Anolis sagrei: one gene and its partners. The protein of the gene in region 2 interacts with the protein of the main gene of each other region in a pairwise test. Links are inferred from orthologs where the notes say so. Each region holds a gene or a part of one and is shown on either strand. Other genes may lie near its edges.

Region 1 (7,261 bases), about 86 Mb from region 2:
TTTGAACTGCATTACATGATCAGTGTAGAACTATACTATGCAGCTTGGATTGAATTATATGGTCAGTGCAGAAACTGTACAATGCAACTTGAGTCGTGTAGAAACTATACTATACAGTTTGAACTGCATTATAAGCTCAATGTTAAACTATGCAATGCAGCTTGATCTGATCATTATATGATCAGTGTAGAACTATACTATGCAGCTTGAACTGAATTATATGGTCAGTGCAAAAACTATACATTGCAACTTGAACTGCATTATATTCTTAGTGTAGAAACTATACTATGCAGCTTTAATTGCATTACATAGTCAGTACAGAAAGTAAACAATGCAGCTTGAACTGCATTATAAGCTCAATGTAGAACTATACAATGCAACTTTAATTGCATTAAATGCTCAGTGTTGAGACTATACAATGCAGTTTGAACTGCATTATATAGTCAGTGTAGAAAGTATATAATGCAGCTTGAACTGCATTATATAGTCAGTGCAGAAAGTAAATGCAGCTTCAACTGCATTATATAGTCAGTGTAGAAAGTATACAATGCAGCTTGAGCTGCATGGCTCTACACTGATTGTCGGGCAGTGTAGCACCAGCCAAACATGACACAACTAAAAACAGAGCAAATGCATTGATATGAATATATAAAAATACAAAACCAAGTGCAAATGGTATGAAAATGCACTTCAAACTACCTTGAACACCCTTCTTTCTCTCCCTGCCTGCCAGCCATCCAGCCCAAGAGGGATCTTCCCTGCCTCCGTGCCCTCTCCCTTCCCAGTGGGTCCCACTTACTGGGGTCGATCTGGTTCTTGTCCCCTCCTGCTCCTCCTGCTCCGGCCTCGCTCTCGGCGTGGCTCTCGGCGAAGGGCGGCCCGTCTCCGGGGGTCTTCTCCCGTTCAGCTGAGGGGGAACCACAGGCATAGTCAGTGAGGGGGAGGGCGTTGCTGTGCGGCTCGAAGGCAGTGCGGCAGTCCCCCCGCCGGGCCGGGAGCGGCTCGGGCTTGATGCCGTAGGGCCGGCCGGGCGGCGGCAAGGCGGGGAAGGCCAAGGAGCCGCCGGGCAGAGGCTCCAGCCAGGAGCGCAGGTACCTGCTGCCGTCGGGGGCGGCGGGCAGCGGGGGCGGATGGTGCACGTAGGGGTGGTAGACGTGGCCGGAGCCCGGGGGCGGCGGAGGAGGCGGAGGCGGGTGCGGAGGCGGCGGGGCGGCGCTCCAGGAGGCCGAGAAGACCGAGGAGGCCTTGGCCTGGAAGCTGCAGGCCGAGAAGTCGGCGTGCTCGGGGGCCGCCCCTCGGGAGCCCACTTGGCCCAGGGGCAGCGAGCCGTAGCGCGCCGCGGAGGGGCCCAGCTCCTCGCCGCCTTCGTGGAGCAGGAAGGAGTCCACGTAGTAGTTGCTCAGCGTCCCCGAGGAAGTCATGGCCCGGGCGGAGGAGGGAAGGGAAGGGAGGAAAAAGAAGAGAAGGGGGAGAGAGAGAGAGAGAAAGGAAGGAAGGAGGAGAGAGAGGCAAGACCCGGCGAAATTATGAAACGGCAGATTTCATGTCACAACTTGGTCCTGGCGAAGAAGTACAGTCACCTAATAAGTTGAAGGCGGCCGGGGCCTCTGATTGGCTGCCGCGCCTCACGTGGCCGGGCGGCAGAACAATAAAGTATAAATCAGTCCGCAGGCTATTAATGGGTCAGTGTTTTCGAGTCATCATTTTTTATAGCTCAGCCTTAGGAATTTTTTTAATGTAAAGGGGGCGAGTTGGACGAGCAAACTTTGGGTTTTTGTGGCATGCAAATAAGATTAAAAGATTAGGGATTTTTTTTCAGGAGGGGGAGGGGGAAAGGGGAGGGTGGGTCTTGCCCTCCTTTAAAAGAGGGGACTATTTTATATCATAATTAATCATCCCATCAAAGGTTGGCGTTTGGAGAATCCAAGAAAGGAGAGGAGAAAAAAAAAACTAAGACAGGCTTCCCTTATTTTATTTTTATTATTATTATTAAGTGATGGGAGACCTTCACATAAAATTATACAATAATGGAAGCCATAAAAATAAAGAAAAGGAAAATAACATTGGGCGGGCGCACTGTATTTAAATCTATATTTATTCTATTTCATACATAAGGAGTTATTGTCTCGGGAGCCACCAGGTTGTTATTAAGTCAGTAACGACGAGCATATTCATTTGCATCGCTGTGTTTCGCGGCAGTAAAAATTTACGAGTGCACTGGAAAGGTTAAATTATACTATTGTGTTGTACTTTGGGAAGCTGTACTGTAAATAATACTGTGCGGCTGAGTTCAGAGCGAACGGGAGGCTGGCAAGGCGAAAAGTCAAATCCAAGAGAAGAAGCCTGTCTCCCTCGGATCTGCCTCTTTTCCTCTCACGCGCCCGAACAGACGAGGAGAGAGGAAAGCGGGGGGGGGGGCACAAGAGGGGGGTTTGGGGCTCTTTATGGGGCACCTTGAGAGCCAAGGGTCGTCGGAGACACAACGGGGAGCCCTTCCCACGAACCCACATTTCCAGATCCACTCCAACGCCGTGTTTCTTGCCCCCCTCCTTCAGGGAAACTCCAGCAGCGGGTTGCACGCTGATCCATTGACATTCTGACACAAACACTCAGCTTTGGAAGCCAGATATACACATATATATGTGTGTAGTATTTCCAAATGCTATAATATATATATTTGGGGGAAGTAGGCTTCTTCATGCACGTGGACAAAGAAAAAAAAAGACTGGAAAGGGGGAAAGCAGAGCAACATGGACGTTTGGAGGGCAAACCAAAGAGACCCACCCACCCGCCTCGATCAAGTTGACTGCAGAGGGGCTTCTTGGTATGTGAGCCCTCCTGCCTCTTTCCTCTTCTGTCTGGAGAGGAGGAACCAGAGCCATGCTACCGCTGGGGAAGACTATATATGTATGGATTGGGTCGGGGAGGGGGTTAGTAATGCTTCCCCATCCCGTCCTCTCCTGGAGAACCTTCCTGAACCATGTCTGGATTGGAGAGCCCCCCCCCCTTGGCATCCGCCCCCCTTTCTCTGGCATTGCTTTCTCCAAGCAAACAGATCTTAGAAGGTCTGAATACTTATTGTTTCCCTGGCACTTTCTATGGGGCTTCTGGGAGCAATATGGGGACGAGGCGGAGGGTTATAGTCTCTCTACCCCCAGAATCACAACAACAACAACAATAAAAGGATATGGCCCTCCGATCAAGGCCAGTGTTGTGAATTAAAGTAATGGGGGAAATACTCAGTGGCTGTGACATTTGAAGGCTTTGTCTTCTCGGTGGATTCCTGTGGTTTTATTTTTGTCCTTTCTATTATTATTATTTTCTCTTTTCTTCTTTAGCTGTTGCTTTTGGGAATCACAAACGGAGCTCAAGAGTGGGGTGAGGAAGAAAAGGGTTCTTTTGTTTTTAGTCTCAAACAGCGGCGTTATTCAGTCTAGAGGCTGTCTAATAGTAAGAGAATCGTGTGTTAATTAGATTCGTGTGTGAATATTCCTGGTGCAAAGCGCATGTTTTTCATTAGTCTACATTAATGTCTTTCCTCCTTGTGCTCCAAGAGGCCAATCTCGAATGAGAGAAACGGAATAGACACTTCTCCATTCTTAAAAATACCAGAATATTGAAGATTACACAAAGTAATTATCTGATCAGAAATAAAAGGGCTCAGGAGTTGCTGATAATAATCTCCCCTACCTACACACGCAAAATAACGTTTCCCAGAAGACTTGAGTAGCTACTATAGTTACTTTCGTGAGATAATTGGAACTATTTGTGTCTGCATAGAGATAGCGGCAACAAAAATACAACAAGCACATGTATCGTGTTATGGGTTTGTGTCTTTCCTGGAAAGAGGGGAAGCCTTGCGTCATTTTTTGTTTAAAATCGAGAGTCAGCTGTTGTGAAATATGTTCACAGAACTTCCTTCCTCCTTGAAGGAGAGAAAATAATCTTAACAGCAGGATTCCTCCCATGTTTTCTTTATTGCATTTCGTGTTTCGGAAATGGCAGCAGATTTTCATTTCTGATTAGGGAGAATCAGGCTCGATTGACTACATCAGAATAACACAATAATCTCTCTGTACTCCTGAACAAAGACAGTTCAAGTATCTAGAGGGGAGAAAAGTTGGGTTGGAATTATAGAGATAATAAATAATCTGCGTGTTTCTTTCTCCTATGCAGAAATGTTATTTCCAAAGGGACTTGTATATTTCCAACTTGATTAATTTTCATGTAAGGACAGACACAGCATGGAAACAGAAGAAACGCGGGTCTACAGTTAAGCTTCATTTTCACTTAAATAAATATATTTTCACCTCAAGTGAATACATTTCTGGTCTTATCTTAAGGCAGCGGCTACCAGATATCGCCCCTTGCCCATAAATACAAATATTAGGGACTCCCAAGTAATAAGTAAGCGTATTTCCGGTTGTTGGTGACTTTTAAACAGCCTTATTTCCTTCCGGTTTGTATAATATTATATCAATTTCAACAGACTCCAATAGTCCTTCACAGCTCTCATATGTGTGTGTGTGTGTAAAAATATACTATTGAGTAAGTGTGCATGAAGGACAATACATATACACATATAAACATACATATACACATCTACATATACACACACTCAATACTATGTGTGTATATATGTATATATGTATATATATGTACACTATTGAGTGTGTGTATTATATATATATATATATATATATATATATATATATATGTTGAGAGATAGAGAGAAAGTGTGTGTGTGTGTGTATATATATATATATTTATATATCAGACCCACCAACTTTAGTGGGCCTTCTTGCTAAGTATGCAAAATTAGCAGCCTTACGGGTTTTATACTGTCACACCCAAGAGTTTTACATTTCTTAGCCTTAACTATTTTCTTTGAATTTTCTGCTAGAGCTATCACTGGAAAATTTTCATTCACGTTTAAATTACAGTAATAATTTTCGAGCTATATTCTTCTCTGAATTCGGCCTCACCGGTAAGCCAATGCCTATGAAATGTTTCCTTAACACACATAGATACAGGCGTTCTTGTTATTATATATATATATATATATATAGCCACTGAAATGTGTGTGTGTGTGTTTATATATATAGAGAGAGAGCCACTGAAATTTATTTATATATATATATATATAATTCACACACACACACACATATAGCCACTGAAATCTGGAGAAACCCTGAGCCAAAGGATATGCTATGCAAATTATGAAGGACTTCAATGGTATTTTTCCAAACAAAGAAATACATATTTGTTTCAGCTCCACAATGGAGTAAACACCCAATACTAGGAGCCTGTATACCTAAACTTGAGTTTTATTGGCGAGCCTATATATTTATGTATTTAAGAAAGCCCTTTACATTTAAAATCGAGCTTTTGACGCCTGAGTTTACAAACACTGGCTGGGGTTATATTAGAAGTGCATACTTATGGGCAGTGTAGACGCACATAACGTAGTTCAATGCATATTTTTGTGTTTTCCGGGCTGTATGGCAATGTTGCAGAAGCATTCTCTCCTGACGTTTCACCTGCATCTATGGCAGGCACCCTCAGAGGTTGTGAGATTGTGGGCCATACAGCCCAGAAAACACACAACAATCCAGTGATTCCGGCCATGAAAACCCTCGACAATACATTAGTTCAATGCACTTCAGACTGCCTGATGAGGGTCTACATTGGCCATATAACGCCACTCAAACTGCTTTGTCTGGAAAGTGTAGTTCCAGCCACAGGCATCCGCATTCCAACCGAAAAGCTCGACATTTCTGGGTGTCCCGGGCTTGGTTCCCAGTATACAACTGCACATATACACAACCCACTCGTTGCATTTACAATCCTAACAAAGCCTCCAAGTTTCCAAACAGACTGGCGAAAAGGCGTGCGAATCTGCTGCTCCCTCCTTTCCCCTCTTCCCAGAAAAGGCCGAAAGCAGACCCCACGGCGGATATCCCCACATCCTCCCCGCCCTAGATCCCCGGAGAGGTCTTGTTCATTTGCACGAACGGTAAACAACGCACGTCTCCGGCGTAAACAAGGCTCTGCAGCGCCTTCGCTTCTCTCTCTCTCTCCCTCTCCGCCTCGCAGCTGCGGTTCCTGCCTTTGCTGCCGCCGTGGACAATAATGATCGTAACCGAGGCCTTGTGGGCGAGCGACGGGGAAATCCTGGCCTTGTTTTCCCGCCTTCTTTTCCCCTCCTTTCTCGCAAGGGCCCCGTCTTAATCCCTTCCTACAGAGGCCTCGGAGTTGCGTTGGAGGATATGTGTGCCTTGGAGAGGTAGAGGAGGGAAGAAGCAAGAAAAAGGGCTGCCTTGCCACCGCTGGAAACCAGGCGACCGAGGCGGGTGGGTGTGTTTGGCTGGCTTACCCTCCTCTCCCCTCCCTCCCTCCTTCTCCTCAGACACAATATAGCCCAATAAAATATAATGAGAACGAAGCAGCGGCTCGCAATCCGAGCTGGAGATGGCTCCCAGATTCCTTTGCTTTCTCTCCCGGCTGAGGGTTAGAAAGCAGGAAGGAAAGGAAGGAAAATGGCAGGGCAAGACAAAGGTAAAGATTGCTATGACAATCCAGACAAGCAGCAGGAAAGAAAAAGACCCTGCAAGAAGAAAAGGAGATGGGTTGTTGTGATTTTTCTGGACTGTATGACCATGCTCCAGAAGCATTCTCTCCTGACGTTTCGCCTACATCTATGGCAGGCATCCTCAGAGGCTGTGAGGCCTGTTGGAAACTAGGCAAATTGGGTTTATATATCTGTGGAATGTCCAGGGTAGGAGAAAGAGCTCTTGTCTGTTTGAGGTAGGTGTGAATATTTCAGTTGGCCACCCTGATTAGCATTTAATGGTTTATCAGTTTCAAGGTTTGGCTTCTTCCTGCCTGGGGGAATCCTTTGTTTCCATACAGGCCGGAAAACTCACAACATCCCTGTGATTCCTGCGTCCATGAAAGTCATCGACTAAACAAGGAAAGGAAAGATCATTCCCCTGCTACTGAAAAGCGCTCCTGACCTTGAAGGAAATCTGTATAAAAACTGTCTAAACCTAGAAGTCTCTTCCATTTTTTTTTCTTGAAAACTCTCCACTTTTGTCTCTTATTCAAAGCTGGAAAATATGAAATGTGGCGACTCTAACAAAGCCAGTCTAGAAAGGAGGGAATTTGAAACCCAGTGCCTACAGAAGTCAAAACAATGGCTTTGGAACTTGACGCCCCTCCAGAGGAGCAATTGTGGGGTTCCCTTATCCCACCCCCCTCC
Region 2 (7,050 bases):
TAGTCCAACCCATCTGGAGGAGGGCTGACTCAGAAAAAGTCTGGTTTCAGTTCCGCTAAACAAAGAAGCAGAAGCTCTTTGACACACCCTGAAAGCCGCAAAGCTAGCAAATTATATATCTCATCTCTTGTGTTTGTGTGTGTGTGTGGATATATATCCATTTTAGGAGAAACATAGAAAGGAAATGGAGATTTATCCCCTTCTTTTTCTGTCCTTTGCAAAGGCCTTGCAAAACTACAGCTCCCTGGGTTCCATAGTAATTTACCCATAGCGGTTAAAGTGGTACCAAACTGCATTAATTTTATAGTGCAGAGGAGGCATGGGCAAACTTTGGCCCTCCAGGTGTTTTGGATTGCAACTCCCATCATTCCTAACAGCCTCAGGCCCCTTCCTTTTCCCCCTCAGCCGCTTAAGCGGCTGAGGGGGAAAAGGAAGGGGCCTGAGGCTGTTAGGAATGATGGGAGTTGCAATCCAAAACACCTGGAGGGCCAAAGTTTGCCCAGGTCTGGTATAGAGTGATGCACCCCAAGACTTCTGATTCTTTCCCAGGATCAGCTGAGCCTATCCAAAATGCTCAGGGAGCAAATGTGTTTTGGAATATTTGCATAGACATAATAAACAAACCCAGGCCCAAGTCGAGACATGAAATTGCACTGATGTTGCATCCATGCGCCTTCGAGACGTAGCCTGAAGGTAATGTTATCATATATTTGCAAAAATCATTTTGCACAGGTAACAACGTCTGCGTACGTACAATCCTTTCCCAGCCAGCCACCCAGGTGGATCGTTGTGGATTTTGGGAACCCTTTTTTCCAAAATTATGTTTAATCTAATTTTGGATTTCAAATAAAAATGTGTAATAATAATAATAATAATAATAAATAATAATACCTAAATATGCCAATTAATTCATTTTAATTTAAAATAATGCATTATTTTAAATTAAAATGATTTAATTGACATATTTATGTATTAAATATATATATTATATATATATAATGTACATAATAATAATAATTTATTTTAAATTAAAATGATTTAATTGACATATATTTTCTGCATCGCCATTCAATCCACAAAAAATTAAGAAGCAATAAAAATATGTTTAATCTAATTTCGGATTTCAAATAAACAATGTGTATATAATAATAATAATAAATACCTAAATATGTCAATTAATTCGTTTTAATTTAAAATAATGCAATATTTTAAATTAAAATGATTTAATTGACATATATTCTCTGCATCGCCATTCAATCCACAAAGAAATAAAAAGCAATAAAAATATACTTTCAAATATTCAGAGCTGGGAAAAGTTACTTTTTTGGTCTCCAATCAGCAAAAGGGATGCTTGGAAAAGTTACTTTTTAAAAACCACAGTCCCCAAGTCAGCATTCTCCTTAATCAGCATGGGGAAAAAACCCAAAAGGAATCTTTGGAAAAGTTACTTTTTGGGTCTCCAGCCCCCAGGATCTCTTCAGCCAGCAAAAGGGATGCTCATAAAAGTTACTTTTTTAACATCATAGTCCCCCAAGACAGAATTCTCCTTAACCAGCACGGAAAAAAATTAATGGGAATGGTCAGAGCTTGGGAAAGTTACTTTTTTGGTCTCCAGCCCCTAGACATCTTCAGCCAGCAAAGGAGATGCTTGGGAAAGTTACTTGTTTTTAGACCATAGTCCCCCAAGACAGCATTCTCCTTAATCAGCATGGAAAAAATTAATGGGAATGGTCAGAGTTTGGAAAAGTTACTTTTTCCAAGTTTTACTCTCCTCAATCAAGCATGGCTTGGGGAAAATGGGAAGGAACCAGAATGTGGTCACAAATGCTGGAAAAACAAACCTTGGAATAAATAAACCTTGGAAAAGTTACTTTTTTGGGACCCCAAAACCACCAAAACGTAAGAGGAAGGGGAAAAAAAGAAGTTTCCTTATCAGACCTTGCAAAAGTTACTTTTCTGTAGGAAGAATGAAGGAAGAGAGAGGTTTCCTATCAATCCAAGGGTTATTAGAACTTTAGAAAAGTTACTTTTTTCCAAGTTTTTTCCAAGTTACTCTCCTCACTCAAGCATGGCTTGGAGGAAATGGGAAGAAACCAGAATGTGGTCACTAATGGCTGGAAGAAGTTACTTTCTTGCCTGACACTTCCCACAATCATTCAGAATCAACAGGACTTGGAAAAGTTACTTTTTTGGGATCCCAAAACCACCAAAAAGGAGGAGGAGGGGGGAAAGAAGGAGATTAAAGTTACTTTCTTGCCTGACATTTCCCACAATCATTCAGAATCAACAGGCCTTGGAAAAGTTACTTTTTTGGGATCCCAAAACCACCAAAAAGGGTGGGGAAGAAGGAGATTAAAGTTACTTTCTTGCCTGACACTTCCCACAATCATTCAGAATCAACAGGCCTTGGAAAAGTTACTTTTTTTCGTATCCCAAAACCACCAAAAAGGAGGGGGGGGGGGGGAAAGAAGGAGATTAAAGTTACTTTCTTGCCTGAAACTTCCCACAATCATTCAGAATCAACCAGCCTTGGAAAAGTTACTTTTTGGAGACCCCAACACCACCAAAAAAGTAGGAGAGAGGTGGGATTTCTTATCAGACCTTGCAAAAGTTACTTTTCTATTGGAGGAATGAAGGAAGAAAGAGGTTTCCTAACAGATCAAAGAGATGTCTTATTAGAACTTAAGAAAAGTTACTTTTTGAGGGTCGAAGTCTCCTAGAACCTAGCAATGAGGAAAAAAGTAACTTTTCCACTCTTTTTGGGGGGGGAGAAGTTTCCCCCCATTACACCCTTCGCTCCTAGCCATGCTGTTGGTTGCAAAAAGTAACTTTTCCAAGAGTAGAGCCTTCCTACCTGCTCTCACCTGGGTCCTCCGCTCCTGCTCCTGCTTCCTTTCCAACTTTCCTGTATTTTTATTTTTTTGCAAAAGGCAATGGAGAGAGAGAGGCACAGACCCCGGGGATGACGTCACCGCATTCCAAAGCGTCACGTGGAGCCTGGGAATTCCTGCCACTTCCGGTGGGAGGAGGGTCAAGGGGAGGGGGGAGATTTGGGGAGGAGAAATAGAAGGAAGGAGGAGGAAAAAGAGAGATATTGGGAATGAATGGGAAGGGAATGAATGAACTGGGAGGCAGAACTTTGGAAGGACTTCCTGAGAGTGGAATAGAATGGAGAGTTTGGGACCTACAGCTGGATGGCCATCTGTTGGGAGAGATTGGATTGTGCCTTTAAGAGTCTCCTCCAATTGTATGAATGCATGATTGTGTCACACTTTCTCAAAGACTTCCTGAGAATGGGATAGAGTGGAGAATTTTGAATCTACAGTTGGATGGCCATCTGTTGGGAGGGATTGGATTGTGCCCTTCTATCTGGTTGGACTAGATGACCTTTTAGAGTCTCTTCCAACTCTATGAATGCATGATTCACCCTTTTGGAAGGACTTCCTGAGAGTGGGATAAGCTGGAGTTTTTTAATCTACAGCTGGATGGCCATCTGTTGGGAGGGATTGGATTGTGACCACCTATCTGGTTGGACTGGATGGCCTTTAAGAGTCTTCCAACTCTATGAATGCATGATTCTATCACACTTTTGGAAGGACTTCCTGAGAGTGGGATAAACTGGAGTTTTTGAATCTACAGCTGGATGGCCATCTGTTGGGAGGGATTGGATTGTGCCCTCCTATCTGGTTGGACTAGATGACCTTTTAGAGTCTCTTCCAACTCTATGAATGCATGATTCTATCACACTTTTGGAAAGACTTCCTGAGAGTGGAATAGAATGGAGGGTTTTGGAGCTACAGCTGGATGGCCATCTGTTGGGAGGGATTGTGTTGTGCCTTTAAGAGTCTCTTCCAACTCTATGAATGCATGGTTATGTCACACTTTTGGAAGGACTTCCTGGGAATGGGATAGGCTGGAGAGTTTTGAAGCTACAGCTGGATGGCCATCTGTTGGGAGGGATTGCATTGTGCCTTTAAGAGTCTCTTCCAACTCTATGAATGCATGATTCTATCACACTTTGGAAGGCCTTCCTGAGAGAGGGATAAGCTATAGCTTTTGGAGGTACAACTGGATGTGATATAACCATGAATTCATGGCCATCTGGATGGCCATCTGTTGGGAGGGATTGGATTGTGTCCCCCTATCTGGTTGGACTAGATGACCTTTTAGAGTCTCTTCCAACTTTATGAATGAATGGTTATATCACACTTTTGGAAAGACTTCCAGAGAGTGGAGTAGAATGGAGGGTTTTGGAGATATAGCTGGATGGCCATCTGTTGGGAGGGATTGGATTGTGCCTTTTAGAGTCTCCTCCAATTGTATGAATGCATGATTATGTCACACTTTTGGAAGGATTTCCTGGGAGTGAGATAAGCTGGAGAGTTTTGAAGTTACAGCTGGATGGCCATCTGATGGGAGGGATTGGATTGTGACCTCCTATCTGGTTGGACTGGATGGCCTTTTAGAATCTCTTCCAACTCAGTGAATACATGGTTATGTCACACTTTTGGAAGGATTTCCTGGGAGTGGGATAAACTGGAGAGTTTTGGACCTACAGCTGGATGGCCATCTGTTGGGAGAGATTAGATTGTGCCTTTAAAAGTCTTCTCCAACTGTATGAATGCATGGTTATGTCACACTTTTGGAAGGATTTCCTGAGAGTGGGATAGGCTGTAGCTTTTGGAGGTACAACTGGATGGCCATCTGTTGGGAGGGATTGGATTGTGATCTTATAGTTGGACTGAATAGCCTTTAAGAGCCTCTTCCAACTCTATGAATGTAGTTATATCACACTTTTGGAAGGACTTCCTGAGAGTGGAATAGAATGGAGGGTTTTGAACCTACAGTTGGATGGCCATCTGTTGGGAGGGATCGGATTGTGCCCTTCTATCTGGTTGGACGAGATGACCTTTTAGAGTCTCTTCCAACTCTATGAATGCATGGTTATATCACACTTTTGGAAAGACTTCCAGAGAGTGGAGTAGAATGGAGGGTTTTGGAGATATAGCTGGATGGCCATCTGTTGGGAGGGATTGGATTGTGCCTTTTAGAGTCTCCTCCAATTGTATGAATGCATGATTATGTCACACTTTTGGAAGGATTTCCTGGGAGTGAGATAAGCTGGAGAGTTTTGAAGTTACAGCTGGATGGCCATCTGATGGGAGGGATTATGTTGTGCCTTTAAGAGTCTCTTCCAACTCTATGAATGCATGGTTATGTCACACTTTTGGAAGGGCTTCCTGAGAGTGGGATAGGCTGGAGATGTTTTGAAGCTACAGCTGGATGGCCATCTGTTGGGAGGGATTGCATTGTGCCTTTGAGAGTCTCTTCCAACTCTATGAATGCATGATTCTATCACACTTTTGGAAGGACTTCCTGAGAGTGGGATAAGCTGGAGGTTTTGGAGGTACAGCTGGATGACCATCTGTTGGGAGAGATTGGATTGTGCCCTCCTATCTGGTTGGACTGGATGGCCTTTAAGAGTCTCTTCCAACTCTATGAAGGCATGATTCTATCACACTTTTGGAAGGACTTCCTGGGAATGGGATAGGCTGGATGTTTTGAATCTACTGCTAGATGGCCATCTGTTGGGAGGGATTGGATTGTGACCTATCTGGTTGGACCGGATGGCTTTTAAGAGTCTCTTCCAACTCTGAATGCATGGTTATATCACACTTTTGAAAGGACTTCCTGAGAGTGGAATAGAATGGAGGGTTTTGAAGTTACAGCTGGATGGCCATCTGTTGGGAGGGATTGGATTGTGCCTTTAAGAGCCTCTTCCAACCCTATGAATGCATGATTATGTCACACTTTTGGAAAGATTTCCTGAGAATGGGATAAGCTGGATGTTTTAGAGCTACAGCTGGATGGCCATCTGTTGGGAGGGATTGGATTATGCCTTCCTATCTGGTTGGACTGCATGGCCTTTAGGAGTCTCTTACAGCTCTATAAATGCATGATTCTCTCACACTTTGGAAGGACTTCCTGGGAATGGAATAGCCTGGATGTTTTGAATCTACAGCTAGATGGCCATCTGTTGGGAGGGATTGGATTGTGACTTTAAGAGTCTCTTCCAGCTCTATGAATGCATGATTCTATCACACTTTTGGAAGGACTTCCCGAGTGGAATAGAATGGAGGGTTTTGAAGCTACAGCTGGATGGCCATCTGTTGGGAGAGATTGGATTGTGCCCTCCTATCTGGTTGGACTGGATGGCCTTTAAGAGTCTCTTCCAACTCTGTGAATGCATGATTCCATCCCATTTTTTGGAAAGACTTCCTGAGAGTGGGATAGGCTAGAAGTCTTGAATGGATGGCCATCTGTTGGGAAGGATTGGATTGTGACTTTAAGAGTCTCTTCCAGCTCTATGAATGCATGATTCTATCACACTTTTGGAAGGACTTCCCGAGTGGAATAGAATGGAGGGTTTTGAAGCTACAGCTGGATGGCCATCTGCTGGGAGGGATTGGATTGTGCCTTCCTATCTGATTGGACTGCGTGGTCTTTAAGAGTCTCTTCCAACTCTATGAATGCATAGTTATATCACACTTTTGGAAGGACTTCCTGAGAGTGGGATAAGCTGGAGGTTTTGAAGTTACAGCTGGATGGCCATCTGTTGGGAGGGATTGGATTGTGCCATCCTACCTGGTTGGACTGGATGGCCTTTTAGAATATCTTCCAACTCTATGAATGCATGGTTATATCACACTTTTAGAAGGACTTCCTGAGAGTGGGATAAGCTGGAGTTTTTGAATCTACAGCTGGATGGCCATCTGTTGGGAGGGATTGGATTGTGCCTTCCTATCCGGTCGGACTCCATTGCCTTTTAGAGTCTTTGAATGAATGATTATATCACAAGCCTGGGCCAACTTGGGACCTCCAGATGTTTTGGACTACACCTCCCACAATTCCTAACCGCCGGTAGGCGGTTAGGAATTGTGGGAGTTGTAGTCCAAAACACCTGGAGGGCCCAAGTTGGCCCAGGCAACTTTAGTGGCAACAAATACCAGCAAAATGACTAACCTCCAGGCTTTCTCTGCTTTGTTTCAG
Region 3 (7,432 bases), about 86 Mb from region 2:
TTCCAAGTACCTCAACTTATATTGATCTCTCCCCCCTCCCAATTAAAAAAAATCCCAATACACCCCCTCCTCAATTCGGAGATAGGAAGGCAAAGTCTATTGTTAGGTGCATGAAAATGCGTCCAGAACAACAAGGCAACAAAGGAGGATGTGGGGACGTGTTGCAGGTCTATCTGGAGCTTCCAGTTGGGAGCAAAACTTTGCTTGCTCCGCCATCTCCAGAGGCACCAGCCTCAGCTCCCCCCCCCAACCCTTTCTCTTCTCTCCTGCTCTATCTACCCCCCCCCCCCCGCCTCTACATCTCGATGTGTCCCCCCTCCTTGCATTGTGGTGAGCGGAGAGGATTGTGTAGGCCTCGGAATGCAAAGCGCTGGGCCACAGACAGTCTAACAAAAGGGAAAGATGTCTTCGGAACAATGGCGGAGAAACGAGGGAAAGTGGTGGAGGGGCTGGCGATGGCAGGCCTGGAGAGGGGGGAAGAGAAGGTTTGGAGGGGAAAAGATGGCCTGAATAGATAGATAACGAAAGAAACTAGGTCGGGAGGCAAAGAAGGAGATGATATATAATTATAGAGGAAGATGGAAAGAAGCTGCAGTAAGAGCAGGCCCATTCATGAATGTGAGGCAACACACTGGTAAATCTGCTTTAAGAGAAAGGTAAAGGTTTTCCCCTGACATTAAGTCCAGTCGTGTCCGACTCTGGGGGTTGGTGCTCATCTCCATTTCTAAGCCGAAGAGCCGGCGTTGTCCGTAGACACCTCCAAGGTCATGTGGCCTGCATGACTGCATGGAGCGCCCTTACCTTCCTGCCAGAGCTGTACCTATTGATCTACTCACATTTGCATGTTTTCGAACTGCTAGGTTGGCAGAAGCTGGGGCTGACAGTGGGAGCTCATTTTCTATTGCTTTAGCCAGAACTAATAACAAAAATTCAGATTCCAGAGTGTTAAGGTGGGTGAAATGCGATGTCTAGCCTTTCCCCTTTTTTTCTTAACGTCCCCTTTGGCCCAAAATCTCCAAACAAAACATCAAACGCGATTGATTTTAGCCCATGTGTTAATTTTCTCTTCCTGGCCTAGCATGAAACAACATTTCACTCCAAATCCAGCTTCTGAACTGCATGAAAAGTTGTGCTTATTCTTTCCCAGTGCTCTGGATGTTTCTACCAATGACATGGCGAGGAGGCAGGGACCAGGGGAACCAAGGAGACCATTGAGAAATGGGGCACTCTGTCAAGCTCCTCCTTCAGTCAACAGAGCCATGGAGAATCCGTGCTTTCTTGCTGTTTTTTTTCTGTCTGAGAGCAAAATCTGAGCACTGGGTGCAGGCAGGGGCTTTCAGCCAAAATTGAGTATTTTCCCCCTTAAAATCCCATCTGCTACAAACTGGAGTTTAGCTCTACCAAATAAATAAGGGAGACTTACTTCCTGTAAACATCCAGGAGAATGCTTGTGCCCAGATCCTATATATCAGGCCTAGACCAACTTGGGCCCTCCAGGTGTTTTGGACTTCAACTCCCACCATTCCCACCATTCCTAACCATTCCTAATAGCCTCAGGCCCCTTCGCTTAAGCGGCTGAGGGGGGAAAGGAAGGGGCCTGAGGCTGTTAGGAATGGTGGGAGTTGAAGTCCAAAACACCTGGAGGGCCCAAGTTGGCCCTGGTCTGAATTATATATACTTGACTGAATCTTGATTTTGATTGATAGGGATCCAAACCTGAAACCACTTCAGGAAACAGCCCCAATCTGGATTGGTAGCTTGGAGAACTACTGAGTGGCCGAATGCGCATGCGCAGATGCCTTTACGCGCAGACCGGCACGTACACGCATGCTCCAATGGATGGAACATCCCAGCAAACAACCCTCCATACAACAATGTCAACTTGCTCTTCGGGTTCATTTCAACTTTGCCCTAGGAATACACTATGCAAAATAAGAGCCTTTGCTAAACTAAACCTTGCAATTTTCGCCTCTCTCTCCAGGCAAAGTTCTCCAAGAAGCAGAGCTTACTCCTCACTGTATCCCTTGTCTCCTCTCCAGTCAAACCACCAGGAACCTTATCCCTCGCCCCCATGTTATGTCCTTTAGGCTCACCTTGCTTTTCAGATTTCAGATTTAACTTGAATGCTAAGCTCCCCCTCCGCATGCTTCGATAGGCCATATCTTTTTTCCATCTTTTTATGTGTAAACAGTAGGTCCCTGTGTTGTTGAAGGCTTTTGTTGCCAGAATCTCTGGGTTGCTGTGAGTTTTCCGGGCTGTATGGCTATCTCTCATGTTTCTGGAACATGTCAATGAGCCGGGGAAACTCACAGCAACCCAATAGGACCCTGTTTTCCCTTTCAGCAAGTTCCTAACCCATAGAAAGCCACCTTTCTTTAGACTCCTTTCAGGTCCGTAGCCAGGATTTTGATGCGGGGGTGGGTGGAGTGGGGCTCAGTTTGATTGGGGGGGGGGGCTGAGTTTGATGGGGGCTGGGGGAGTTGAGGATCTACCCTAGCAAACCTTTTGTATCATTATCCCAATACCCCCATGCATATGGGATATATTGAGCATGGTGATCAGATATGAATAAACATAACAGTTTAAATAATGTACCAGTAAGGCCTTCTCGCAGACCACCCTGAGAATTTCGGGGGGGGGGGGGGGCTGAAGCCCCTAAAGCCCCCTCCCCCCTTACATGCTTCCTCCTTTGATTTCAGTGAGTGAAATGGGGGACTTTCACACTGGGAAAAGACAGAGCTGGGAAACAATTACCAGGGGAACTACTGAGGCTGCTTCCAACGTCCCAGCATTGAATAACACAATCCCCAAATCTAGGGAACCTTTGATTTCAGTGCCTGGCGTCCACGAAGCCCCACCGAAGGGAAACAGTTCTCAAGTGACCAAAGGAAGCCCCCCCCCCTTCCATTGTTAAGTCTCCTCCCCCTAATTTCTAAGTCTGTCATCCAGTGTTGGTGTTTTCAGTCACAAATACCCTTTTAATGGGTTGTTGTGTGTTTTCCGGACTGCATAGCCACGTTCTAGAAGCATTCTCTTCTGACGTTTTGCCTCCATCTATGGCAGGCATCCTCAGAGGTTGTGAGGCCTGAGGATGCCTGCTATAGATGCAGGCAAAACGTCAGGAGAGAATGCTTCCGGAACGCGGCCATACAGCCCTGAAAACACACAACAACACAGCTTCTCGTTCTCTGTATCATTAGCCATTGGTTTGCAATGGGTAGACTGCAAGGCTGCAATTTGCTATGTCCCCTATCCCAACGAGAGGAAAATACATGTGCTTTAAACAGTCCTCACAACCTTTTAGGATGCCTGCCACAGATGCAGGCGAAACGTCAGGAGAGAATGCTTCTGGAACGTGGCTACACAGCCCGGGAAACACACAACAACCCAGTGATTCTGGCCATGAAAGCCTTAGACAATACAATACCCTTTTAGTTTCCAAACAGTGCATATGAGAGGGCAGGAAAGGACGTAGAGCCAGGCAGAGGCAGTTCCTGAGAGAGGCAGAAGGAAGGAGGGAAGAGGGAGGAGAGGAAGGAAGAGAGAAGGAGAAAAAGGCAGGGAGGAGCAGAGAAAGGCAGAGTTTGCACAGGCGCACTGAGGGCTCTGCAAACGCGGGCCGGGGAACCAGCTGCCTTGGCAACCCTTTGTAAGCACTTCCTCCAGCAGCCAAGCGGAGACGGATCGCTTCAAAGGCGGAGAGATGGGGGGAATGGAGAAACCTTGACTCCAAACCCACCCCACTGTCTCGCAGAGCCCCCCCCCCCAAACATCCAGCCCTCCGCCCGCAAAGGCACAATGGCGTTGCTTGCTTCATTCCCATGCAAATCATCCTTCCCTCGAGGAGGCTGGACCTACCAGCCCCGTTTTAACTCTTGCTCTGCGGAGGCGCCCGGGGTTTGGTTGGTGCCCCGCCGGAGATCACATCCATCCCCCACGGACCCCTTTCTTTCTCCTATTGACCCATTCACGCACCCACTGCTGGGTCCTTCTCCTCCATCTCCTTCCTTAGGTCTTGGTGCTAGAACCAGATCTGGTGCTGTCTGGGAAGAGAGAGAAGGAGGCGAGGCTGGCCCTCTACCGCCCCCACGCCTGGCTTCCTGGGCTTACCTGCTTGGCCGGGCTCTCCCCGCTCTGTCCCTCCCGCGGCGGGCGGGCGAGGATGGTCTCTCAGGCAGGGCGCCTGGGCTGGCTCTCCAAGCAGCCCAAGGCATTGACTGAGGATGGGCGAGGAGGAGGAGGAGGAGGAGGAAGAGGAGGAGGGGGGAGCGAGGGAGGTGTTGGCTGCGCGTCACCTTGACGGAGCAGCGCTCGGAATTTAAATGCCACCGCCAGGGCGATCCATCAAACAGGAAGGGACCGGGCCACGCTGGCAGGAGGCGCCGCTATTGGCTGCCGCCCTCACGTGGCCGCCTCCCGACTGTACATTCATATCATTTTTCTCCGGGGCCCCCATGGAGGAAGTGGGGAAGTTGGCACGGGCACCCGGGACTCCCAGCAGCCGGTGATAGATGGACTAGATGGACGCGGCGAGGATGAGTTCCTTCCTCGATTACCCGCCCATCCTCAACGGAGGAGAGCCCGCCACTTGCTCCCCCCGCGCCTACCACCACCACCATCATCCCCACCACCACCACCGCCACCACCACCCCGAGCATGGGGCCACCGCTAGCACCACCTTCCCGTCCTGCGCGGTCAGTGCCAACGGCTGCAACGGGGACGAGCGCTTCCTGGTGTCCCGAGGGGTGCCGCTCAGCCCCCATGCCCACCACCAGCCGGGCCCCGCCTACCAGCCTCACCCCGGCCTGGGCATGTCCTACCCGCACCCGGGCTACGGGGCACAGGGCTTCGGCGCCGGGGGCTACGGGCCCCACTACCCGCTGAGCCCCGAGGCAGAGGTGAACGCCGGGTACCCCCAGTGCGCGCCCGGCCTCTACTCCGGGAACGTCTCCTCCTCGCCCTCGGTGGTGCCCCACCCGGCGCAGGGCTACGCGGGGGCCGCGGTGGGCTCGGCCCCCTACCTCCAGCCCCCCTATGGAGAAGAGCAGCAGGGACTGCCCTTGACCAGCTATGGACACCCCTTGTCCCCTCTCCAGTCCAGCCACCAGGAACCCTGCGGCTCCCCCTCAGCTTCCGAGACCTCTCCTCCGGCCCAGACTTTCGACTGGATGAAAGTGAAGAGGAACCCACCCAAAACAGGTGAGTCACCGTCCCCATTAGTCGGGCTGGAAAGACATGAGAGAAGGATCCCATAGGATGGTAAAATATCCTCTGCAGACGGCCCATTCTCTCACACGATTTAAAAAGTCGGGCTGGAAAAGTTGGAAGTGCCAAACTTTCTTCTGCTCTTTCTTTCATTATTTCGAAATAGACCACTAGCCACCAGACCAGACCCAAATAGACTGAAGAAGAATTAGAGTTGGGTTCCTGAAGCTGGGCGATTAGCTTGCAAGGGGGACATGTTCTGATTTGGGGTTCTAATTGAAAGACAACTATTTTGGAAAGGGGATTTATCCTCCCATCAACTGCTCTTGGGGCTTCGAATTGAAATACTCAACTTTGAGGTCCATAGGTGTTTATTTATTCCTTCCACGAGGGTGGTAAAACATTAAACATCCGGGAGTTTCCTGGCTAACGTCCTTGCAGACGGCCAATTTTTTTTCACACCAGAAGCAACGTGCTGTTTCTCAAGTCATTCCCTTTGGGGTCCTAACAGCAACCAATTCTCTGGTGTCCTATCATCTCAAGAAGTTAGTCTCAGTATAAGTGGGGAGTCTTTGAGCAAACAAAGTCAGAACTGGCCCAGAAAGTTTCTTTCAAGGTGACAGGTATAAAGGCCTTGTCTCTTAATACCTGTCACCTAGAGCTTTGAGGAGCCCGGGGTAGTGCAATGGGTGGCACAATGGGTTCGAATCTGGGGAGAGGGCTGAGCTCCCTCTGTCAGCTCCAGCTCTTCATGCGGGGACATGAGAGAAGCCTCCCATGAGGATGGTAAAACATCAAACATCCTGGTGTCCCCTAGGCAACGTCCTTGTAGACAGCCAATTCTCTCACACCAGAAGCGACTTGCAGTTTCTCAAGTCGCTCCTGACACAAAAAAGAAAAAGAAACCTTGCATCTTGTGGTGTCCACCCTCCCCTTTGCTGGCAGGACTGAAGACTGACAGGTCTCAAATTCGAATCTGGGGAAAGCGCGGATGAGCTCCCTCTGTCAGCTCCAGCTCCCCATGTGAGGACAAAAGAGAAGCCTCCCAGAAGGATGGTAAAACATCAAAACATCCGGGCATCCCCTGGGCAACGTCCTCGCAGACGGCCAGTTCTCTCACACCAGTAGCGACTTGCAGTTTCTCAAGTCGCCCCTGACACAGAAAAGAAAAAGAAACCTTGCGCCTTGTGGTGTTCACCCTCCCCTTTGCGGATTGCGGTTGCCTTATTGTTCTTGTTGTCTTTTTTTCTTTTTCTCCAGGGAAAGCGGGCGAGTACGGCTACGTGGGTCAGCCCAACACGGTCCGAACCAACTTCACCACCAAGCAGTTGACGGAACTGGAGAAAGAGTTCCACTTCAACAAATACCTGACCCGGGCCCGGAGGGTGGAGATCGCGGCCTCTTTGCAACTCAACGAGACCCAGGTCAAGATCTGGTTCCAGAACCGCAGGATGAAGCAGAAGAAGCGGGAGAAAGAGGGCTTGCTGCCCATTTCGCCGGCCACCCCGACCGGAAGTGAGGACAAAGCGGAGGAGTCTTCGGAGAAGTCCAGCCCATCCCCGTGCACCCCCTCCCCGGCCTCCTCTACCTCAGACACTCTGGCTACCTCCCATTGAACTAAACGGGACCCACTCCCCAATCCTCGAAGGCACAATCCTTGCGTCGTTTTTTTTCTAGATTGGGTTCAGAAAGGCTTTAAACAAAAAAACTATACATTTCCTCCCTCCGGGTAGTTTTATGTCTCCACTGGCACTAAGATGTCAGAGGGGGGAACCAACCCCGCGAGATCCTGAACTTCTTCACTCTGGAAGCCAATCCCCTTGATTTCAGAGGACTTTCTTCCCCCTCCCCCTACAAATCGGTACAACGTTTAATCTCTTCCCAAAACCAAGGAAGAGAGCCAGAGTTGTGCAGTGAGCCTTTCACCACGATTTTAGAGACCAAGGCTGGATCAAGGAAACCCACAGGGTGACCTTGGGCGAGTCACACTCTCTCAGCCCTAGAAAAAAAGGCACATAACAAGGACAACTAACAACTGCAACAGCCAAGGAAAGTAATGTGGTGAGGCTTAGTTAGAGACTAACTGGAACCTCATTGATTTCAGTAGGATTTCGTTAGGATTGGTTTACTACCTTTGAATAAGTTCGGTAATGGGTATCCACAATCCCCTTTATTATTATTATTATTAGACTAAATTTCCTTCCTCAATTTTTAAATTCGGTTTCAT
Region 4 (7,437 bases), on a different chromosome or scaffold from region 2:
CTTCTTTCACCTTGATTAGAAGGCTCCTCAGCTCCTCCTCACTTTCGGCCATCAGAGTGGTGTCATCTGCATATCTGAAGTTGTTAAAGTTTCTTCCAGCAATTTTCACCCCAGCTTTGCATTCATCAAGCCGCGCACATCGCATTAATCACTTAATTTAGCATGCATAAAAGAGAAGGAATAATTTCAAGAAATACCCACCATCCAGTAAGATCTCCTTCCACACAAACCATCAAATCATCTTCCACAACAATATCATTTGTGACTTCTGAAAGAGAAAAACATTTAAAAAAAATTAAACTCCAAATTTTCTGCTAACAGATTTAATTATATTGCATACAAAATGGCAGTTTTTTGATGTCTCGCACACCCTTAATATATCGTAGCTCCTCTACATTTACCGGTGTTAGTGGCACATAGTCTCAAAGTGGGGAAAATGCAAATATAAATTGCAAATGCTACTTTTTACTTGAAAGAAGACTGCTCTAGCCATTTGTGGGACCCACAAATGCCTAGACAGAAGATACCACATGTTTTTGGCTGTGAGTAGAACAAAAGAGGTGGCATAAATACAGCAATTTGCAAATACAGCAATGAAATCTGCAAATTAACTGATCTGAAGAGCTAACTGTATCCTTCTAATCATTGCATGCTGCTTAAACACTTGACAGGAAATCTGACTGCAGAAAAATCTCAGTACATTTGCTGAACAAAAAAGAAACAGGTGAACTATTTTTATATTGTTAGATGGCCAGGAACAAAACAAAACAAAAGGAAAGGAAAGCAAAGCAAATACAAAGTAGGAATGAGGTAGCCTTCAAGGAAGTATGAATGTAATTGGGCTGGGAATATTTTTGAGGGTGAATCTACACAAATCTGGCCTGCCATGTCTTTCTGTGTAGTCCTCCAGATGCTGGATGACAACTCCTGTATTCCTCTTCATTAGACATGATTGGAGCTGATGTTCAATGTGAAAAAGTAACACCTGTAAGGTTGCAGTCTGTCATTTTTAGTCAGAATGATGGTGCCTGAATTTAGATATATGGCTTGTGGATATGATATTCGACTTTAACCTTTGTCCTTTAACCTTTCTCCAACCCCAGAGCCACATGTGCTGTTGGGTTGCAATTCCCATTTTCCCCAATCTGCATGGCAGATATTCAAAAGTTTATCATTTAATAACATCTGGGGACAGAACCACATTAGTTAAAGTGGTGTCAAGCCTTACAGTTGTCTTCAATGGGCCTTTGAATCCATGGAGGGAGAACCTGGTGTAGATTCATATAATCCAGTTCAGTCTGCATTATATGAGTCTACACTGATCATGTAATGCAGATAAGGCTTCTGTCCTGGGAGAAAAGCAGGGTATAATAATAATAATAATAATAATAATTTAAAAATAGTCCGTACCTGGATGCAACTCAGAACAGAGATAAAGTTCAGGTTCACTAACTCCTATCCAAAATCCATGGGACTAGCAATGTTTTTTAAATAAGAATGTTTAAAGATCTTGGAATACTTGCAGATACATTTCGAGATATTTTGGAGATGAGACCCAAAGCCTGAACACAACATTCATTTATGTTTCATATACATCTGAGATACATAGCCTAATGTTTATACTAGGGTGATTTTATGCTTTGTCTGAATATTTAAATGTTATGTATTTATGTTTAATGGTTTAAGTTGATTTTAAGTTCATAGTTATATGTAGTAATTACTTAGTTATTATGATTTGTCTACTGTATGTTGGCAATGAATTTTTGCCATTAGTACGTTGTAAACTGCCTTGAGTCCACCCAGGGCTGAGAAACGCGGCATATAAATACAGTATACAAACTTACACAATCTCTCTGATCATCTGGAGAGGCCCTGCTCACGATTCCACCTGCGTCACAAGCGCGTTTGGTGGGGACGAGGGACAGGGCCTTCTCTGTGGTGGCCCCCCGACTCTGGAACTCTCTCTTTAAGGACATCAGACAAGCCCCAACGTTGGCAGTGTTTAGGAAGAGCTTGAAGACGTGGCTGTTCCAGTGTGCCTTCCCAGAATAGGAAACGCCTAGCATCATGTCCCAAATGCACATTATTAGAGATTTAAGATTGTCTGCACACAGCACCTATCTCCAAAAACCTATCCATTTCACCTGTCATGTCCAGCATTTTTTAAATTTTATTCATTACATTTGGCCTGGCCTTAGTTTTAAATGTGTTGTGGTGTTATTGTCTAATGTTTATTGCTTTCTTTTATGAGTTTACTAATTGTTGTATTGTTATGCTGTTGTTTTATTGATGTGTTGGGCCTTGGCCTCTTGTAAGCCGCACCGAGTCCTTCGTGAGATGTTAGCAGGGTATAAATAAAGTTAATAATAATAAATAAATAAATAAATGTGAGGATACAGGGGGCCAAATATATTTTTCACATAGTTGCTTTTCATTTTTAGCCCATTTGTTATTGAATAACAACGCCCATCACTTCTGATTCATTCATTCTACTCAAGTGAGTTCCAAACTCGTCCTCCAGGTTCCCAGAATTCCTGACCATTGGACAGGCTGGCAATAGCTTCTGGGAGTTGGAGGCCCAAGCACTGGAGGACCACAGGTTGTCCCCACTTGGCGTAGCGAGGATGCGCCCAACCTCCGCTCTCCCGAGCTAGGCGAACTCACTGAAGCAGGCGAGGAGGCGGAGCTTCTCCTCCTGGGCGCACAGGTGAAGCGAGTCCCCCAGCACGGCGCGGCAACTCCGGCATTGGTAGAGCACGCAGTCCTCCGGTCTCAGGCCCCGAAAGCCGGGGAGCCGCTCCCAGGCACCCTCGGGCCTCTTGCTTGGCGGCGGCGGCGGCGGGCTGGGGCCTTTCGCTACTCCAGGTCCTGCCCGCTCCACCATGATGCCGCCACCCACTCGGGGCTCCTGGAAGAGCAGCTGCAGTTGCCGACGCACCGCCATCTTGTTTTCCGCCAAACGTTCAAACCTCATCCCCCGCCAAGCACGAGCCCGCCTTCTTCCACCGTCATTGGCTGGAGCTGCCCGCCCACGTTTCCGTTAGACCTAATCCCCCGCTTTCGTTAAGCACGCGCCCGCCTTCTCCTCGCCCATTGGCCTACTTTGCGGCTTGACCCAATCGGGTTTCAAGAATATAACACAAAGCGGGGGCGCGGGCGGTTTAAAAACAATTTTATTTGGACGTTTCCGTGGCCCAGGCAGGCCTCGAAGCCAACGTCTCTTCGGCACTTGACCTCCCACGCAGAGGCCTGTCTTTCTCTCGTAAGACCTGCAGACTCGGTTGGAGAGGAGAGAGCGGCTCACAACATTCACCGTGTTCCTTTGGCATTTTGGTACTCTCTTGTGCTGTGTGCGCGCGTGTTTTTATATGTATAGGTAAAGGTAAAGGTAGTCCCCGTTTTATATGTATACATTTCTTTAAAAAGACTCCGGGTTGTTGAATCCCTTCTCAGTTCCCCTTTTCTTTCCAAAGGGAAAATATGACATGCATTTATCCCCCTTCCCGCAATTCTCCCGGAATTCGGCTTTCTTTCTCGATGCGCTGTGAAAAGCAGCAATTCGGTTTCAAAGTCACGTGGGTGGGCGCTAGATCCCAGCTCCTTTCTGATGTTTTTGGGAAGGCTTCATTGTGTTGATTTTAAACTGCGCAGCTTTGTGTTTGAAATGCCTCTCGGTGATTGATTTGGTCTCAAAAACGGTGGCGGTTTGGTTCCTTTCCTTTTGAAAGCCTGGCCCTCTTAACTCAGCTCTTTTTTTTTTTTTTACATTTATGCTTTGGCGTTGTCGAAGGCTTTCATGGCCGGAATCACTGGGTTGCTGTGAGTTTTCCGGACTGTATGGCCACATTCCAGAAGTATTCTCTCCTGATGTTTCACCCACATCTATGGCAGGCATCCTCAGAGGTTGTGAGATCTGTTGGAAGCTAGGCAAGTGGCGTTTATATATCTATGGAATGTCCAGGCTGGGAAAAATAACTTTTTTCTGTTTGAGGCAGGTGTGAATGTTGTAATTGGCCACTTTGATTAGTATACAATGCCTTTGCAGCTTCAAAGCCTGGCCGCTTCCTGCCTGGGGGAATCCTTTGTTAGGATACGCTAGCTGGCCCTGATTATTTCATGCCTGGAATTCCACAGTTTTCTGAGTATTGCTCCTTATTTACTGTCCTGATTTTAGAGTTTTTAAATACTGGTAGCCAGATTTTGTTCATATCATTGTTTGAAATAACAGACTGCCTTAAAAAGTAAAACAACAAACACTGGACCTGCCAAAGGTATGCAATCTAAAATGCGGTGTGGAGTAGATCCTTGGTATCTGCTGAGGTTTGGATCCAGGGCTTTCACTGACACTGTTGGAGGCAGGTGTGAATGCTGCAGTTGTCCACCTTAATTAGCATTTAATGGTCTTGTAGCTTCCAAGCCTGACCACTTCCTGCCTAGGGGAATCCTTTGTTGGAAGGTGATAGCTGGCACAAGCACAGTTTGGGAGAGAAAGTTAAAGACTAAAGCAGGGGACCTCAAACTAAGGCCCGGGAGCCGGTTGTGGCCCTCCAAGGTCATTTACCTGGCCCTTGCTCAGGGTCAACCTAAGTCTGAAACGACCTGAAAGCACACAACAACAACAATCATATCTCATCAGGCGAAAGCAGGCCCACAGTTCCCATTGAAATACTTATAAATTAATATTTATTAAAATTGTTCATTATTGTAATTATTGTATTGTTTTTAAGTGGTTTTTGAACTAAAATAAGATATGTGCATTGTGCATAGGAATTCATGTTTGTTTGTTTTTTTACATTATAATCCTGCCCTCCAAAAGTTTGAGGGACTGTGACCTGGCCCTCTGTTTAAAAAGTTTGAGGACCCCCGGACTAAAAGGTTGGAAGAAAGAACTCTTGTTCTTTCCACAGATATATAAACCCCATTTTCCTAGTTTCCAAGAGATCTTACAACCTTTGGCCACATCATGAGGAGACAGCAAAGCCTAGAGAAGACAATGATGCTGGGGAAAGCGGAAGGTAAAAGGAAGAGGGGCCGACCAAGGGCAAGATGGATGGATGGCATCCTTGAAGTGACTGGACTGACCTTGAGGGAGCTGGGGGTGGTGACTGCAGACAGGGAGCTCCAGACAGGGAGCTCTGGCGTGGGCTGGTCCATGAGGTCATGAAGGGTCGGAGACGACTGAACGAATGAACAACAAACCATAGATACAGGCGAAAAGTCAGGAGAGAAGGCTTCTGGAACATGGCCATACAGCCAGGAAAACTTACAGCAACCCATTCATGCTTTTGTCGCCGGTTGATTTTATTCCCAACCCCCGGAGGATTGGTCTCTCCGCCAACTGGAAGGGTTGGGAGCTCGGCTGTTTCCGTTCTCTTTCCGAAAATGTACGAGAAGCTTGGGGAAAAAAACCCTAGAAAAAAATAACCTTTTTGTTTTGTTTCGCTGGCTCACGCGAAGGCATCCTATTGGCCACGGGCCTCCTTCAGGCACCGCCCTCTTCCGCGAGCGTCCAACCAATGCCGCGCGACGAGTGAAGGTTTGAAGGGAGAGCGCGCGAGCGGCTTCGAGGCGCGGCAGTTGGGCGCGGAGCTTTCCTTCCTTCCCTTTGGTGGCTGGAGGCGCCCAGTCATGGAGGTTTCTCCCCCGGAGGAGCGGCTGGAGACGCTCAAGTACAGCGAGCTGCAGTCCCTGGCCAAGGCTCTGGGGCTGAAGGCCAATCTCAAGGTGAGAACTTAGGTCTACCCTTAGTTGTTTATGTTTCCCAATGAAAACGAATTTATAAATTGCTATCTGCGACTAAAATGATCAAGGGTCTGGAGAACAAGCCCTATGATTAGCGGCTTAAGGAGCTGGGCATGTTTAGCCTGAAGAAAAGAAGGCTGAGAGGGGATATGATAGCCATGTATAAATATGTGAGAGGAAGTCACAGGGAGGAGGGAGCAAGCTTGCTTTCTGCTTCCCTGGAGACTAGGACGTGGAACAGTGGCTTCAAACTATAAGAAAGGAGATTCCATCTGAACATGAGGAAGAACTTCCTGACTGTGAGCCGTTCAGCAGTGGAACTCTCTGCCCCGGAGTGTGGTGGAGGCTCCTTCCTTGGAGGTTTTTAAACAGGCTAGATGGCCATCTGTCAGGGGTTCTTTGAATGCAATATTCCTGCTTCTTGGCAGGGGGTTGGACTGGATGGCCCATGAGGTCTCTTCCAACTCTATGATTCTATGGGGAATGGCACAAAGATAACACTGAATTGCCTCAGGGAACTGAGTTTTGAACGGTACTTAGAATGACAGAGACTTCTAGTGCACACCCTTGAATTACTATAGCCATGGTACCTTGAGAGGTAAGGCGCGGATGTTGTGGAAATTATTAGCTGGTGGAACATTCTAGCAGAACTCTTTAGAGTGCATCTGCATTGTAAAATTAATCCAGTTTGATACCACTTTTAACTGCCATGCCTTAGTGCTATGTAATCCCGGGATTTGTAGTTTGTTGAGGTACCTTTTAAAACTACAGCTCCCATGATTCTATATAGTTGAGCCATGGCAGTTAACGCAGTCTCAAACTGCGCTAATTCTATAGTGTAGGTGCGACCGAAGAAACTGAAGGTTTTGTTCCTTTAAGCTAGGCATGGGCAAACTTAGGCCCTCCAGGTGTTTTGGACCAACTCCCACAATTCCTAACACCCGGTAGGAATTGTATGTTTTTACCCTGTTTCCCCTTCTGCTCCCTCACCCATATTGTGTTTTTAGTAGTTATATTTATATTTTTAATGTACCAAACATGCCAGGTTTGTATGGAAATGTGACACTATTTCCTGTGCTGGTCAATGACCGAAATAAATATTTTGAAAAAGTCCAAAACACCTGGAGCGCCTAAGTTTGCCCATGCTTGCTCTAAGAAAAGTCTTGAACTCGGTTTTTTAGAGATTTGATGGAGCTTGAGGTGATGCGGTTTGATATGGAATTGAACTGGAATTTGTAGTTCGGTAAGACACCAGCACTCTGGACCTTGCAAGGCTACAACTCCCGTGATTCCATAGCACTGAACCATGACGGGAAAAGTGGTGTCAAACTGCATTCATTCTACTTTGTAGGATTCAAATCAAAGAAGGCCAATGGCTTGGTTGTTGTCCTCTTGTTACTGTTAACCGCCCAACTATTGGGCTGATCCACTTGGAATGAGCCCACTTGTGTGTCTCCAGAGAAACCTCTCTTCTCCGCTGAAGTATAGGATGCCCATTTTCCATTTTGAACCTTAGAAACTCCTGTTGGGGTCCAAAGGGGCAGCAAATTGTTTTCTTCTGAATCAGTGCACCTCAGGCTTTTTGGTTAGCTGGTCTGCAGTTTTTGTTTGGGCTAGTTTTTGTCCCCATATTTCTTCCTCCTGTTAAATGCATTGTTTCTTTACTGGAAAATGGCTAGGCACTACAAGGTTATT

Evidence for each region.
Region 1: the proteins of TRIP6 (region 2) and HOXA9 interact in binary tests that used the Homo sapiens proteins (3 or more experiments, as listed by UniProt). The two-hybrid records come from large-scale screens. The link is inferred for Anolis sagrei from reciprocal best matches to the Homo sapiens genes TRIP6 and HOXA9.
Region 3: the proteins of TRIP6 (region 2) and HOXA1 interact in a two-hybrid assay, tested with the Homo sapiens proteins (2 studies listed by BioGRID and IntAct). The two-hybrid records come from large-scale screens. The link is inferred for Anolis sagrei from reciprocal best matches to the Homo sapiens genes TRIP6 and HOXA1.
Region 4: the proteins of TRIP6 (region 2) and OIP5 interact in binary tests that used the Homo sapiens proteins (3 or more experiments, as listed by UniProt). The two-hybrid records come from large-scale screens. The link is inferred for Anolis sagrei from reciprocal best matches to the Homo sapiens genes TRIP6 and OIP5.

What each region holds. Positions count from the first base shown.
Region 1 is NC_090026.1:91,096,932-91,104,192, reverse strand, and holds the start of HOXA9 (homeobox protein Hox-A9), read right to left. Parts: upstream 3,002-7,261; 5' UTR 1,422-3,001; coding exon 800-1,421; intron 1-799. UniProt on the Homo sapiens protein: Sequence-specific transcription factor which is part of a developmental regulatory system that provides cells with specific positional identities on the anterior-posterior axis.
Region 2 is NC_090026.1:4,966,556-4,973,605, reverse strand, and holds the start of TRIP6 (thyroid receptor-interacting protein 6), read right to left. Parts: upstream 3,007-7,050; 5' UTR 2,855-3,006; intron 1-2,854. UniProt on the Homo sapiens protein: Relays signals from the cell surface to the nucleus to weaken adherens junction and promote actin cytoskeleton reorganization and cell invasiveness. Involved in lysophosphatidic acid-induced cell adhesion and migration.
Region 3 is NC_090026.1:91,199,020-91,206,451, forward strand, and holds HOXA1 (homeobox protein Hox-A1), read left to right. Parts: upstream 1-4,413; 5' UTR 4,414-4,520; coding exon 4,521-5,199; intron 5,200-6,465; coding exon 6,466-6,821; 3' UTR 6,822-7,403; downstream 7,404-7,432. UniProt on the Homo sapiens protein: Sequence-specific transcription factor. Regulates multiple developmental processes including brainstem, inner and outer ear, abducens nerve and cardiovascular development and morphogenesis as well as cognition and behavior.
Region 4 is NC_090021.1:288,820,642-288,828,078, reverse strand, and holds the start of OIP5 (protein Mis18-beta), read right to left. Parts: upstream 3,003-7,437; 5' UTR 2,975-3,002; coding exon 2,665-2,974; intron 269-2,664; coding exon 202-268; intron 1-201. Other genes in the region: NUSAP1 (nucleolar and spindle-associated protein 1), read left to right, coding at 5,629-5,724. UniProt on the Homo sapiens protein: Required for recruitment of CENPA to centromeres and normal chromosome segregation during mitosis.